Drosophila melanogaster: one gene and its partner. The protein of the gene in region 1 purifies or fractionates together with the protein of each later gene. This does not show direct contact. Each region holds a gene or a part of one and is shown on either strand. Other genes may lie near its edges. The genes, in order: Zw10 and rod.

Region 1 (4,799 bases):
TCAATTTTCAAGCCAGTGGCTAAATGATAGATACTCACATCCCAGGGCATTGATCACGTTGCCCAGGGCCAGAAGACCCTTATTGATGTTCACACCCTCTTTGAACCGATCGCCGCTGGCTAGGGTCTTTGAGCAGCGTTCAGAACCAGCCAGATCCACCAGGTTGAACCTGGACGTGGTAACGGATTGCCTATCGGAGATTGGAGGTCAAATGTGTATAAGCATTAAGTATTCTAACGAGGTGATGGCGGCCCACAACATACTTGCCGTCCAGCTTGGTGGCTACTAGCGTCAATGTGAATATGGCATGGGATCTTGAAGAGGTTTCATTCATAGCCGTGGCGGCCACAGCCCGTCCGGCTGAGCCGCGGATCAGATGATCGGTCACTTGCTGGGCGGATGTGACCACTAGCTCGGTGAGGCCCGGCATGATAATACGGTTCTTGACCTCCCTGATGTCTACGGTGGCCTTGTCCCGAGTTTTCGACGAAAAAAGGTCATAGAACTGCTCCTGGTAGAGCTCCACAAAAGAGCATGTGACAGCAAAACGAAATTCGCTCTGCATTTCCGCAATGGCTGTGAATATATCATGAACGGCGCGTGGTATAACGCCCACATGGTCATCTAACACTCCGTTGAAGGCGGTGCCCATAGTGTAGGTCTTTCCGGAACCCGTTTGTCCATATGCCAAGATTGTTACGTTATAGCCATTTAACAGCTTTTTCACTTTGGCCTGTACACACGTCTCGAATAGATCCTTTTGCGAGTCGTCAATGTCGAAGACATAGTTGTACGTATACGACTCATTCCGGTTGACTGTAACCTGTGGCGCTCCATCCGCCGATCGTTCGACGGCAATCCGGCAGCCGCGATCCAACTCGGACTGCACCAAGGGGCGCACGCGCAAGGCCACTGCCACACAGCTGGGATCCTCGCTGGACATCTGGGGGTAGGGGGAGGGAAGGACAATCATAACATTCCATCACCTTTACCGCCATCTCGACCAACACCACCAACCACTTACCTTCTCTGGGGCACAGCAAGTCCGACTTTGGTTAACTGATCAACTGGTTAGCACTTACAAAAACTTAGAATTTTGGTTGGTCTAGATTTTGGAGCAACGCGGCTTCTCCACGCGCAGCCCGGCACTCTCAATGAATTCGATTTTTGGATCAAGGAACTAAACTAATGAAACGCGACGCTAAGAAGCAAATGCATTTCTGCCAGTATTTTTAAAAATGGCGTTGTTATCGATTCGTTGCAGATGTCGATTAGTGGCGCGATCGACGGAGGTGCCGGTGTAGAAAGATTTCGATTTTTTTATAATTTGGCTCTTGAATAGCACATTTGCAAAAATGTGGTTGGACGATTTGTGCACGCCGATTTGACAAAATGAATCATTGACAGTGTATCTACATACTTATACATAAAAATAAAAGCTACCTAGATCTACAACTATTTTAGCTACTGCCAGTGATAAGAGCCCAATTCTTGTCAACTAGCCAATTCGCCGATAGCCGATAGCAGACAGCCGCACATATCTATCGCTTTTTTGAACAATCGTTGGTAGCAACAGGGAATTGCAGAAACCAGTTGTCTTGGGTTTCGCAAGAATTGGAAAAGGAGGATCTGGTCAAAGAGCAGGACATGGAGGAAGAGGCGCCGCGGTTCAATGTGCTGGAGGAGGCGTTCAACGGCAATGGGAACGGGTGCGCCAACGTGGAGGCCACCCAATCGGCCATATTAAAAGTGCTGACGCGCGTTAATCGCTTCCAGATGCGCGTCCGCAAGCACATCGAAGACAACTACACGGAGTTTTTGCCCAACAACACGTCGCCGGACATATTTCTGGAGGAGTCGGGGTCCTTGAATCGCGAGATTCACGACATGCTCGAGAACTTGGGTTCCGAGGGACTGGACGCCTTGGACGAGGCGAATGTCAAGATGGCGGGTAACGGCAGGCAGCTGCGAGAGATCCTTTTGGGTCTGGGTGTCAGCGAGCATGTGCTAAGGATCGACGAGCTGTTCCAGTGCGTGGAGGAGGCCAAGGCCACCAAGGATTACTTGGTGTTACTGGACCTTGTCGGTCGTTTGAGGGCTTTCATCTATGGCGATGATTCCGTTGACGGGGACGCGCAGGTGGCCACGCCAGAGGTTCGACGCATCTTTAAGGCTCTCGAGTGCTACGAGACCATCAAGGTGAAATACCATGTACAGGCATATATGCTGCAGCAGAGCCTCCAGGAGCGCTTCGATCGCCTGGTGCAGCTGCAGTGCAAATCCTTTCCCACATCGCGTTGCGTCACCTTGCAGGTGAGCCGGGATCAAACGCAGCTGCAGGATATTGTGCAGGCTCTCTTCCAGGAGCCCTACAATCCGGCGCGCCTCTGCGAATTCCTGCTGGACAATTGCATAGAACCGGTGATCATGCGCCCAGTGATGGCCGATTACAGCGAAGAAGCCGATGGTGGCACCTACGTTCGATTGTCGCTTTCCTACGCCACCAAGGAGCCCAGCTCAGCGCAGCTTCGCCCGAACTACAAGCAGGTCTTGGAGAACCTCAGGCTGCTGCTGCACACGCTGGCCGGGATCAACTGCAGTGTGTCCAGGGACCAACATGTTTTTGGCATTATTGGCGATCATGTGAAGGATAAAATGCTGAAATTACTGGTGGACGAGTGCCTGATACCAGCTGTGCCCGAAAGCACGGAGGAGTATCAGACATCCACGCTGTGTGAGGATGTCGCCCAGCTGGAGCAGCTGCTTGTAGACTCATTCATCATCAATCCCGAGCAAGATCGAGCCCTAGGGCAGTTTGTAGAGAAGTACGAGACCTACTACCGCAATCGGATGTATCGTCGAGTTCTGGAAACGGCGCGGGAGATCATCCAGCGCGATCTGCAGGACATGGTGCTGGTGGCGCCCAACAACCACTCAGCCGAAGTGGCAAACGATCCCTTCCTCTTCCCACGCTGCATGATCTCGAAAAGTGCTCAGGTAAGTCGTTCGCTAAACGAAACGATTGATTACGCACTAATGGATTCATTTTCGCCGGCAGGACTTTGTCAAACTAATGGACCGCATTCTTCGCCAGCCCACGGATAAACTGGGCGACCAAGAGGCCGATCCCATAGCCGGCGTCATTTCCATCATGCTGCACACCTACATCAATGAGGTGCCCAAGGTGCACCGCAAGCTGCTCGAGAGCATTCCACAGCAGGCCGTCCTGTTCCACAACAATTGTATGTTCTTCACACACTGGGTAGCGCAGCATGCGAACAAGGGCATCGAAAGCTTGGCGGCGCTGGCCAAGACACTGCAGGCCACCGGTCAGCAGCATTTCCGCGTGCAGGTCGACTACCAATCCTCCATCCTGATGGGCATCATGCAGGAGTTCGAGTTCGAGAGCACGCACACGCTGGGCTCTGGTCCACTGAAGCTGGTGCGTCAGTGCCTTCGCCAGCTGGAGCTGCTGAAGAACGTGTGGGCCAATGTGCTCCCGGAGACCGTGTACAATGCAACCTTCTGCGAGCTAATCAACACATTTGTCGCCGAGCTAATCCGTCGAGTGTTCACGCTGCGCGACATTTCCGCACAGATGGCCTGTGAGCTGAGCGATCTCATTGACGTGGTGCTCCAGCGGGCGCCCACGCTTTTCCGCGAACCAAACGAGGTGGTCCAGGTGCTCTCTTGGCTTAAGCTGCAGCAACTGAAGGCCATGCTGAACGCGTCGCTCATGGAGATCACAGAGCTGTGGGGCGACGGCGTCGGCCCGCTGACCGCCAGCTACAAGTCGGATGAGATAAAGCACCTAATCAGGGCGTTGTTCCAGGATACGGATTGGCGGGCCAAGGCCATTACGCAGATTGTATAGGGCGCGTGCGCCTTTTTTGCGAGCGAGGAATGTTGAACGGCGGATAGACATCACATTTGAGGTGGTAAACGGAGTCTAAATTTGATGATCACCATCAATGTGTCCTTACTTTAATTCCTTGAATTGTTTACCACAAATGCCAAAAGTAATAGAATTTGATAATCTTTAATTCTCCGAATGGTTTCTGTTGTACATAGAAAAGTAATTATCCACAAAAATCCATTCCATTCTTCCCGCAACGCAACACAATATTTAACTTAAGACTTATTTAAATGAATAAAAACAACTAAATCCCATTAGTGCGCCTCTTGTCGCGCTTGTAGAACGAGCATGTATAGCTGCTCAGTAAGCAGTCTGTGATCTCGGCCGTGGGTGACGGTTAGGATGCGTTGGGCCTCCTCCAGATGGTGCAGTGCCTCCTTGGAATGGCCCTCGTAGAGCTGAATCTTGCCCAGCTTCATGTGAAGCAGGCCCAATAGCGGATTCCAGGGTCCGTGGTATTTTCGAAAGCCTGGCAGCAAACGTTGCCCGTAATCCAGGGCGTCGCTCCACTTGCCCACTTCGATGGCTGCTTCGAAGGCCGCATCGAGCGTCTTGACGTACCACACATTCAGGGGATGGAACACGCCAGTCTGCTTGTCCAGACACACCTTGCACACATCGAGATCTGTGATCGAGAGAGTGAAAATGTGCTTATTATGGAGCTAATTCCATTTCGTCGCATCTACTCACAGGCCACGTCCTTCATGTTCTCCAGATTGTGCCGGGTCAGAGTCATCGCCTCGTTGAAGGCATTTCTCAACTTGGGACTGATGCCGGCATCGCATCGCGGGCAATTATTGCGGTCCACACTGATTCCCGCACCGCAGTTGCGATTGGGACACAGGGCAGCCAGCATCTCCTTCGATTCCTTGGCATCCGTGCA
Region 2 (7,869 bases), on another chromosome or scaffold:
GCAGAGGTCGTGCAGCTTGGCTATCTCTGCGACCAGAGCGTTAATATCCACTTTGCTGGACTTGAGGATCAGCTCATGGTGGTAGAGCGCCTGAATAAGCTCGGTGGGGTTCTCAACTTGGCGCAGTAGCTTCTCATCGGTCAGGCCATAGACATACAGCAGGTGCTGGGTCTTCTGAATAGGATACCGTCGCTTCACCTTGGCAACCTGCTCGCGACTCTTTGGATCTGTAATCAGGTGGCCCTTCTCCTTGACAAACTTCCAGCACTCGTAGGAGGCCTCCACCTGATCGGCTCCATCACGAGCATAGTTGGACACGAAGTACAGTATTAGAAATGCCTTGTTTGGGTTGTTCACCTTCTCGACCAGTCGTAGTATTGACTGCAGGAAGGCATTATTCGTGGGATGAAGACTCCATGATTCCGAATCATTTTTCGACTTGTACTCCGATATCGAATTCTTTACTGCTGACATGCAGAAGTAGTCACAGTTCTGGGAACTATCCTTGGATCCCTTCAAAGCCGTGTACATCTGAATCAGTGGAAACCAGCTTTGGCAGTTGTCCACGTTTAGTTCGCTGTCTGAATAGAAGAAGCGGAAACTATAATTAAACAGAAGCATTAAGCATTAAACTATTTCAGTTGAATATACCAAGAATATCCTTAAGAGGTTGCTCTACGATGGGCTTAAAAGGCAGACGATATCGAGATATCTTCGGCATAACGCCATTTTCCCTTTGTGATTTCAGCCACGTGTCGGTTTCCACCTGACCTGGCCGATTGCGTCTTCTGGTGATCATCTTGTGTCTCAGGAAGTGCAAAATGTTCATCCAGATTTCCATTTCCTTCGGAGCCGAATCGAAGTACATTAGGATGTTGATCACACACATGTACAACTCGTAGAAGTAAATGTTGATCTAAACGATTTGCAAAGATATTAAAAAAAAGATTATTTGTGGCATCAGTGAGCTTACGTCTTCAATAAAGTGTTTTAACTTGGAAGTAAAGAGCTCGACATTATTGATTTCATTAATGTACGGTTGGCACATATCGCGCATTTCCTGGGCGCTGCTTAGCATAACCAGTTCCTCGTCGCCGAAGGTATCCCTCTTCACCTCGAAGCGCAACTCCTGGGCGCTCAATATGCTTAGTATCTGGGTAATAAGAATCTTTTGGTAGTCGAACCCAAAGTCCTTGCTCATGCGTTCCAAAAGCTGAACGTCAAGTTGCTTATTGTGAAACTCCTTAAGCAGGTCCTCTATGTTGTCCATGTCGGCATTGAACTTGCCCTTTATTCTATGATCCTGTTGGCAAAACTCCAGGTAATAGAAGAGTTTCAATCTCCTGCAAACCAATAAAACGAAGTTTAACATCTAGACTTTTAATGTAATACTTCACTTACTTGGTGCGTATCATGTGCACACTGTCCAAGTCTTCGATATGCTCGTGGTACATGGCGGATAGTGTCAGGAAGTTGATTTTTTGCAGATCGGTCTTTACTTCAACGGAGAGCTTCTCCAGCAGCGCTAGTGCCTCGCTGTCCACCACCAACATGGTGAAAAGCTCTATGAAGTTCACATCTTTGCTCCCCATCGCATTTCGGAATATGCGGCGCAGCTGCAGCGTAATAAAGCCCTCGTTGATGATCCGCTTCGTGCGACAGTTTTGCTTCTGGAAATCCAGCAGATATTGCGACATAACGTACCAAGCGTCGTGCTCCTTCACCTTCGTCAAGTGCTCCAGTGACAGAAAGAAGTCAGCGCAAGCACTTTCGACATCCGCTTTTGTGTTCTCCGGCAGTTCATTGCGAACCTGCATCAGCAATGAGTTGTTTGGCTCCGTTTCGATTACCATAAGCAACAGAGTGCGAGCCAAGAACTTCACTATTGCCATGCGACCTCCGACGCTTTTCTTCGAAGACAACAGAAAGCATTATAACTATAGTCAATTATAGCTGTCTACGATCAATACCTTCTGAGGCTGCTGCTGGATAGGCTGCACTTCTACTTCATCAAACATGGACACCGAGTAGCGCTTCTTCGTAGTCGTTGGAACCGTCAGAGTCTTCACGTCAAAGGATCCGTTAAGAGCACAACTGAAGTTTATTGTGGTTTCGCCCAGGGCTACCGAAATCCCATCGAGGGCCCGGCAGATGTGCTCGTTGACGGCCTGCTCCTTGCCGTCGTAGTGACTCTTAATGGCGTCTAGCGGGTAGTGGATTACGGCCACGCGTATGTATTTGATGAGTTCAACTAGATCGTGACGACGGCTGCTCTCGTGGAGCAGGGCGGAGGTGAGCAACTCGTACGCTAAATAAAAGCTAAGCGGATCGTTTTCATTGATCAACTGCAGGGAGGAGGCCGTTTCTGCAAAACATAAATGGATTTTTCGTTCAATCCCATTGTTGCATAGCTGTATACGACTTACCCTGATTCTTTCCCTTGGCGCTTTCAATTTGCTGAACCAGCAGCTCAAGTGCAAGATTGACGAACTCGCCTGCATTGGCGGGCACACAGTCGACGAAGCTTACAACATGATAAGCGAGGGCGCAGCTGAGGGGCAGGCATCCAATGCGTTGGCAAATGCGGTGCAAACCAAATACTTTCGGAAGACCGAGAGCGGTACACAGTTCGCTTATTTCGCTGGCTATGAATGCGGACACATTCAGCGTGGCCTGGGCCCGCTCAATTATCCTTTCAATGGCCTCATCCAGAAGGCAATGACGTCTGTGCAGCGGTATCAGCTCGCTGCTGCAGCTCAAAAGGATGCCGAATTTCCTTAGGCGGAAACGATGCTTGATCACTAGGTAGCGGCGCTCATAAACGGACTCAACATGCGGCAAGAACAACTTAAAAAGCTCAAGGACGTTCAGGTGCTCCTGCACTTTAATATCACTTTCAAACGAAGCAGAGGAGCTGTTCTCCAAGATGTTAGCCATGATCTCCACCACTTCCTTCGCGCTCTTCGAATTTTTCTCACCATTCAGCTTTTTGAAGAATTCATAAGCCATCTCAACTTGTCCTCTCCGTGCCATTTGATAGCAGCAGTTAAAGTTGGCACTAGTTGATAACTCCGGCGCCGCCTTGGTGAGGGCGCTGATGTCGTCCAGCATGTCCGGAAGGTTCAACTTCACAATGCGCATCATGAAAAGCTCCAGGTTGATATCGGAGCTGTCGGCCGGCCAGCCGTACTTGACCTTCATGATCTTAATCACCTGAATCTCATACTCGGCATTGATCTTCACGGCCAATGGATGAGTGGAGGCACGCAGCCGGATTAGAGGAGCTAGTGTATCAGGCCAGGGCACAGGTGCGTTTTGCAGCACAGACAAGGCGCACTCCAAACGGCTGTCTTCGTTGTGAAGCAGCTCAATGCAAGCCATCGCCCGATCCAGCCATGAACTAGAAGATAGCCGACTGGCTACTAACTGTGATATGTACTGTTTAATCACGTCCAGTGGCTGCCGTCCCTTCTCCTGGAAGATCGGGTACATGAAGTTCTTCACCAGACGCTGAAGCTTATCTAGTTGAACGTGTTGCAAAATGCTCAACGCAGTGGCGTCGATGGAATCCTGCATGTAGTTGTCCAGTGTAAAGCCCATGTTATAGTTGGTCTTAAGCACAGAAAGATCCTGCAGTGCGTTGACAAGATCCCGCAGTTTTCCAACGTTGCGCTCTTGCTGACGCCGCACATCGCTGAAACGGATATACAAGTTAAATCTATCATATTTTAGGGCGAAAAAAGGATTTGCCTACGAGTAAGTAAACTGGATTTCCTCAAAAATGTCCAGTATCTTTGTGCAGAACTCCAGGCCGATATCCGGCCAATGCGGACTATACTGCAGATTCCGCGTCATCTCAATACTCCAGTCAGTGATAAAGGGCATTATGCTAGGATGGGTGTTGCTGACCATCGGAATGAACTGACGCAACCACTGGACAACGTTGAAGGGCTTGGTGTTGCTCGGAATGAACCCTAAAAGCGTGCGCAACTCATCTTCGTTTAGCAGCGGCAGAATGCTGCTCGAATGCCGCCGCCAAATGAGACAAGCCGTGGGCATATCTGTGTTGAATAGCGACTTGACCATCCTGACCAAGTTGTTATCGTAAATAAACTTCTGCCAATCCGTGTTGCATTCGTAGGGATCTATTATGGCCAGAGTTTTAAGTCGGTGCAGTTGCTCGTCGATTTCCAACATATCCTCCTCGTCGTCCTCAAAAGTCAACCGCTTCTTGACCTCGTGAAGATACCGCTCAAGGATGTGCCTCGAGTTCAAGTTGATCATGCGATGGCTCTTTATGAATGCCTTACTTTCCACCTGAGACAGCAGTTGCAGCAAGTCTTGGAATTTAGTGTCCACGTTTTGTGAATTCGAGTTGCAAAGCTCGACCAAAATGCGTTTCGCTTTGGCTTCATAGATGGGCTGGAGGCACAGCTCAAACTGCTTGCCAAATTCCTGTTGCAAATGTTAATGGATAATGAATGACTAAGAGATCAATTATACTCAATACCTCAGCCTCCTCCAGTCGCCCCTTGCAAATCAGCTTCTTAAAACGATCACTGGGGTCGGTCTCGGAAACGAGCATCATCTCCACCACGGAGGGTATGCTGCTCTGGTTGACTTCCTTGGCAGCCAGATAATACAGATTGACCGCACACTTAGGCTGACGCACAAGCCATGCGTGATCAGGAACTTCTACCTCGTTCTTCACATTGAGCGCTGCAATGACACAAGGTTTTTAGCCTTACTGTATGTTTATGTTTTATGTTTGCTGGACTCATACTTGGGTACTCCACTATCTTAATGAAGCGTCCCTCCGCCGTTGATTTCGTCAGCACCAGAAGCTCAATGTTATCTTCGCTGCACTCCATAACCAGCAGATCCTCGATGAGCAGATTTTTTTGTTGGGTAGTTTGACACATGTACACTGTGCGAGTGTATGGACAAATCTCCACCAAGTGGCCGGAATCGGTGAGTGCGATACTGCAAAACCCAGATACACGTTAGAGGGATTCTAGCACCACAATAAGCAAACCCACTCACATATAGTGTTCCAAGTTGAAGATCTGCTTTAGGCTGCCGTACTGAGCGGGCAAATTTATTCGTGTCACGTCATTGGCTGCATTCCTAAAGTTCATAGTGCTTTGATCTCCAGTGATAACTAGACCGGGTTGCGCCTCCAGATCATCCTGATTGTTCTCGGCACTGATGTTGCCGGTCAGCAGCCGCTTGAGCAGCACTGCACAGTCCACGCTGCACGAGGATCTGCCCTTGGAAAGACGTTGAATGGTGACGTCCTCGAGCAGGGCCTTTTCGCAAGCTATAGTTTCGTTTTCATTCAGGCTCATATTGCCTAACGTTTCCAAGCAGGTCTCATCAATGTCGCTTAAGCTACACAGCGTTTGAATCGTTTAATGAAATAATGTCAAGATCCAGTTTTATCACGCATATGCCAGAGCCCATCTCTGTGAATGGCTTACCTATAGATGCTTCCATTCTTACAGGTGAAGTAAAACCGCTGATCCAGTTGATGGATGCTCCGGAAGGTCCCGCCAGTTAGGCTCACGTCCTCCAGATTGACGGCCACGCTGAACAGGAGCAGGCCCTTGATGAACACTCCGTGAACTTCGCCATCGCTGAGGCCGCATACAATCAGGTTGCCGCTTGAAGAAATGGCAATGGCCTCAATGGCTGCCCCGAATGCCAGAAAGCTGCACTTGGCCACCAGTTCGTCCTCCAGGAGCAAAAGGCTCTTGTCGATGCCAATGACCATCTTGCCGCACTGCACGGAGGCCATGACATCTGGATATTTGTTTACCTGACAATGAAAGAAGGCGAGCGTAGAAACCCAACTGCAGATTCTGCACAATAAGGACTCACTTCCTCTTCACTGCTTATTTGGAAGATGCCTCGCGACGAAAATATGTTGGAGATGGTTTCGTCCTCCAGGGAGGACGCCTCGAAGTTGCTCCACATTGCTGTTCAATCCGCTCTAGCCTAATGTGCAAAACCTGCCAATTTTAAACTCTTTATTTAAACACCGCCAATAAACAAGCGTCGCCTGAGAGTTTGCCGATAACATTACCCGCATATCGATAGACGATTGGCGGCATGAAGACACACTACGTATTGACCTTGGGGCTAATACGTTTACGCAATTTATATTTATTACTTAAATGACGTATGTCCAAATCGTAATTTCTCCTTTAAACCTATTACTTTTTAAATGTTAACGTAGTTGCAAACTACTTCGTGCTGGCTTGCTTTGGCCACACTGAGCCGCCGACGGAATTCCGGCATTTCTCTTGACGTGCGCAAACGGTCACACTGGCGGACTTGCAATGAAAATTATTTATATTTCGCTTCTTCGCACGCAAAAATTGGTCAAAATAAACAAAGGTTAATGTGCTGCTGCTATATAACGGTTCAGTGGTCAGTCCGCCGGACCGCCGAATCCGCGTAACGGTAATCCGTGCGTGTGCCGCTCCTATAAACGGCGCTAATTAAAAGTGGATGCTGCAGTGGCCATCAAATCAACAAAAAGCCAACCGAAAACGCAGGCTTCACAAATCGCGTAAACCCTAACACAATTTCCTTGGGAAATAACCGCCGGTTGTTTTGTTTTCCGATTAAAGACAAACGCAAAAAGAACCCGTAAATAAACAACAGTTAAGCGCTGCACTGCAATTAAAACGGAACGGGAAGCGCAGCGGAGGACATAAAATCGCTGGCAAGAAGAAGAGCGCTGCCAGAAAGCGCCCTTTGAAGGGTTTATGAAGGGGAATTAGTGGCAAACCGCAGTGCAGAGTGCTAAAAAAACGAACTCCTGACCTGAAGTGATCAAGGATCAGTAAGAAACTGAGAAGCGGCAGGTGCTTGGCGCTTTGAAACGAGACAACACGACGCTGGGTTTCCAGGGTAGAGTTGCCAACCCGAAAAATAAGCGGGGTTGCCGTTCGTTGCGCCGAAAGTGTTTACCTGCGTTTTGGGAGTCAGTTGCTTTAAAAACGCGATTTTCATAAGGGTCCTGGCCAGGAGATGTCTTGGTGAGTAGTTGAGGAGGACTGACCCACAGGATGCCAGATACTCATTTGGCACCCTTCACACTCCCAGGAACTCAAACTCCAGGCGGTCGCAGGCCGGATAACCGGCAGAAAGCCCAAGCCCACCAAGCATAACCCATTGTAGTTGGTCACCGAAGGATCCAGTGGATTTGTGCCCACCTCCCTAGGGACATCAGAACCAAACCCACTCCTTTACCAGCGTCGAGATCTCCTGCGCGGGATTGGCGACGCCGCTACAACCGAATTTCTTGCCCCACGCCGTTGAAGAAAAGCTGCCACCATTCGGAAGAAGAACACCTCGAATATGACCCACAATCTTGGTATGGCGCCATATCGATTGCCGGGTCCAGCGGGCGGACTCTGTCCGCCCGATTTTAAGCCGCCGCCTCCCACGGACATCATCTCGGCGCCGAGCAATCCGAAGAAGCGGCGAAAAACCTCAAGTGCCGCCAACTCCGCTGCAGCGGTGGCTGCGGCGGCGGCTGCAGCAGCTGCTGCGAATTCCATGCAGCAGCAGCAGGCGCCACCCACACCGCAGGATTTGCTGCCCCCTCCGCCAATGGGAGGCTTCGGAGACACCATTATTGCCTCGAATCCATTCGACGACAGTCCCCAGGTGTCGGCGATGTCCAGCTCAGCGGCCGCGGCGATGGCGGCCATGAATCAGATGGGCGGCGGACCAGGAGGTGGTCACTTTGGCGGCGGTGGACCGGGTGGGCACCCGCACTGGGAAGACCGCATGGGCATGGGCGGTGGACCTCCTCCCCCGCCTCACATGCATCCCCATATGCACCCGCATCATCCA

The links.
Region 2: the proteins of Zw10 (region 1) and rod purify together in Drosophila melanogaster (affinity purification with western blotting; 5 studies listed by BioGRID, with this or other methods). This does not show direct contact.

The regions. Positions count from the first base shown.
Region 1 is NC_004354.4:2,602,656-2,607,454, forward strand, and holds Zw10 (Zeste-white 10), read left to right. Parts: upstream 1-1,541; 5' UTR 1,542-1,647; coding exon 1,648-2,997; intron 2,998-3,058; coding exon 3,059-3,874; 3' UTR 3,875-4,169; downstream 4,170-4,799. Other genes in the region: Klp3A (Kinesin-like protein at 3A), read right to left, coding at 39-190, 264-943; Smyd3 (SET and MYND domain containing, class 3), read right to left, coding at 4,171-4,541, 4,607-4,799. UniProt on the Drosophila melanogaster protein: Essential component of the mitotic checkpoint, which prevents cells from prematurely exiting mitosis. Required for the assembly of the dynein-dynactin, Mad2 complexes and spindly/CG15415 onto kinetochores.
Region 2 is NT_033777.3:31,579,130-31,586,998, reverse strand, and holds the start of rod (rough deal), read right to left. Parts: upstream 6,049-7,869; 5' UTR 5,977-6,048; coding exon 5,881-5,976; intron 5,819-5,880; coding exon 5,481-5,818; intron 5,392-5,480; coding exon 5,044-5,391; intron 4,984-5,043; coding exon 4,784-4,983; intron 4,720-4,783; coding exon 4,511-4,719; intron 4,456-4,510; coding exon 3,755-4,455; intron 3,695-3,754; coding exon 2,427-3,694; intron 2,366-2,426; coding exon 1,971-2,365; intron 1,911-1,970; coding exon 1,402-1,910; intron 1,344-1,401; coding exon 974-1,343; intron 917-973; coding exon 652-916; intron 582-651; coding exon 1-581. Other genes in the region: pygo (pygopus), read left to right, coding at 7,369-7,869.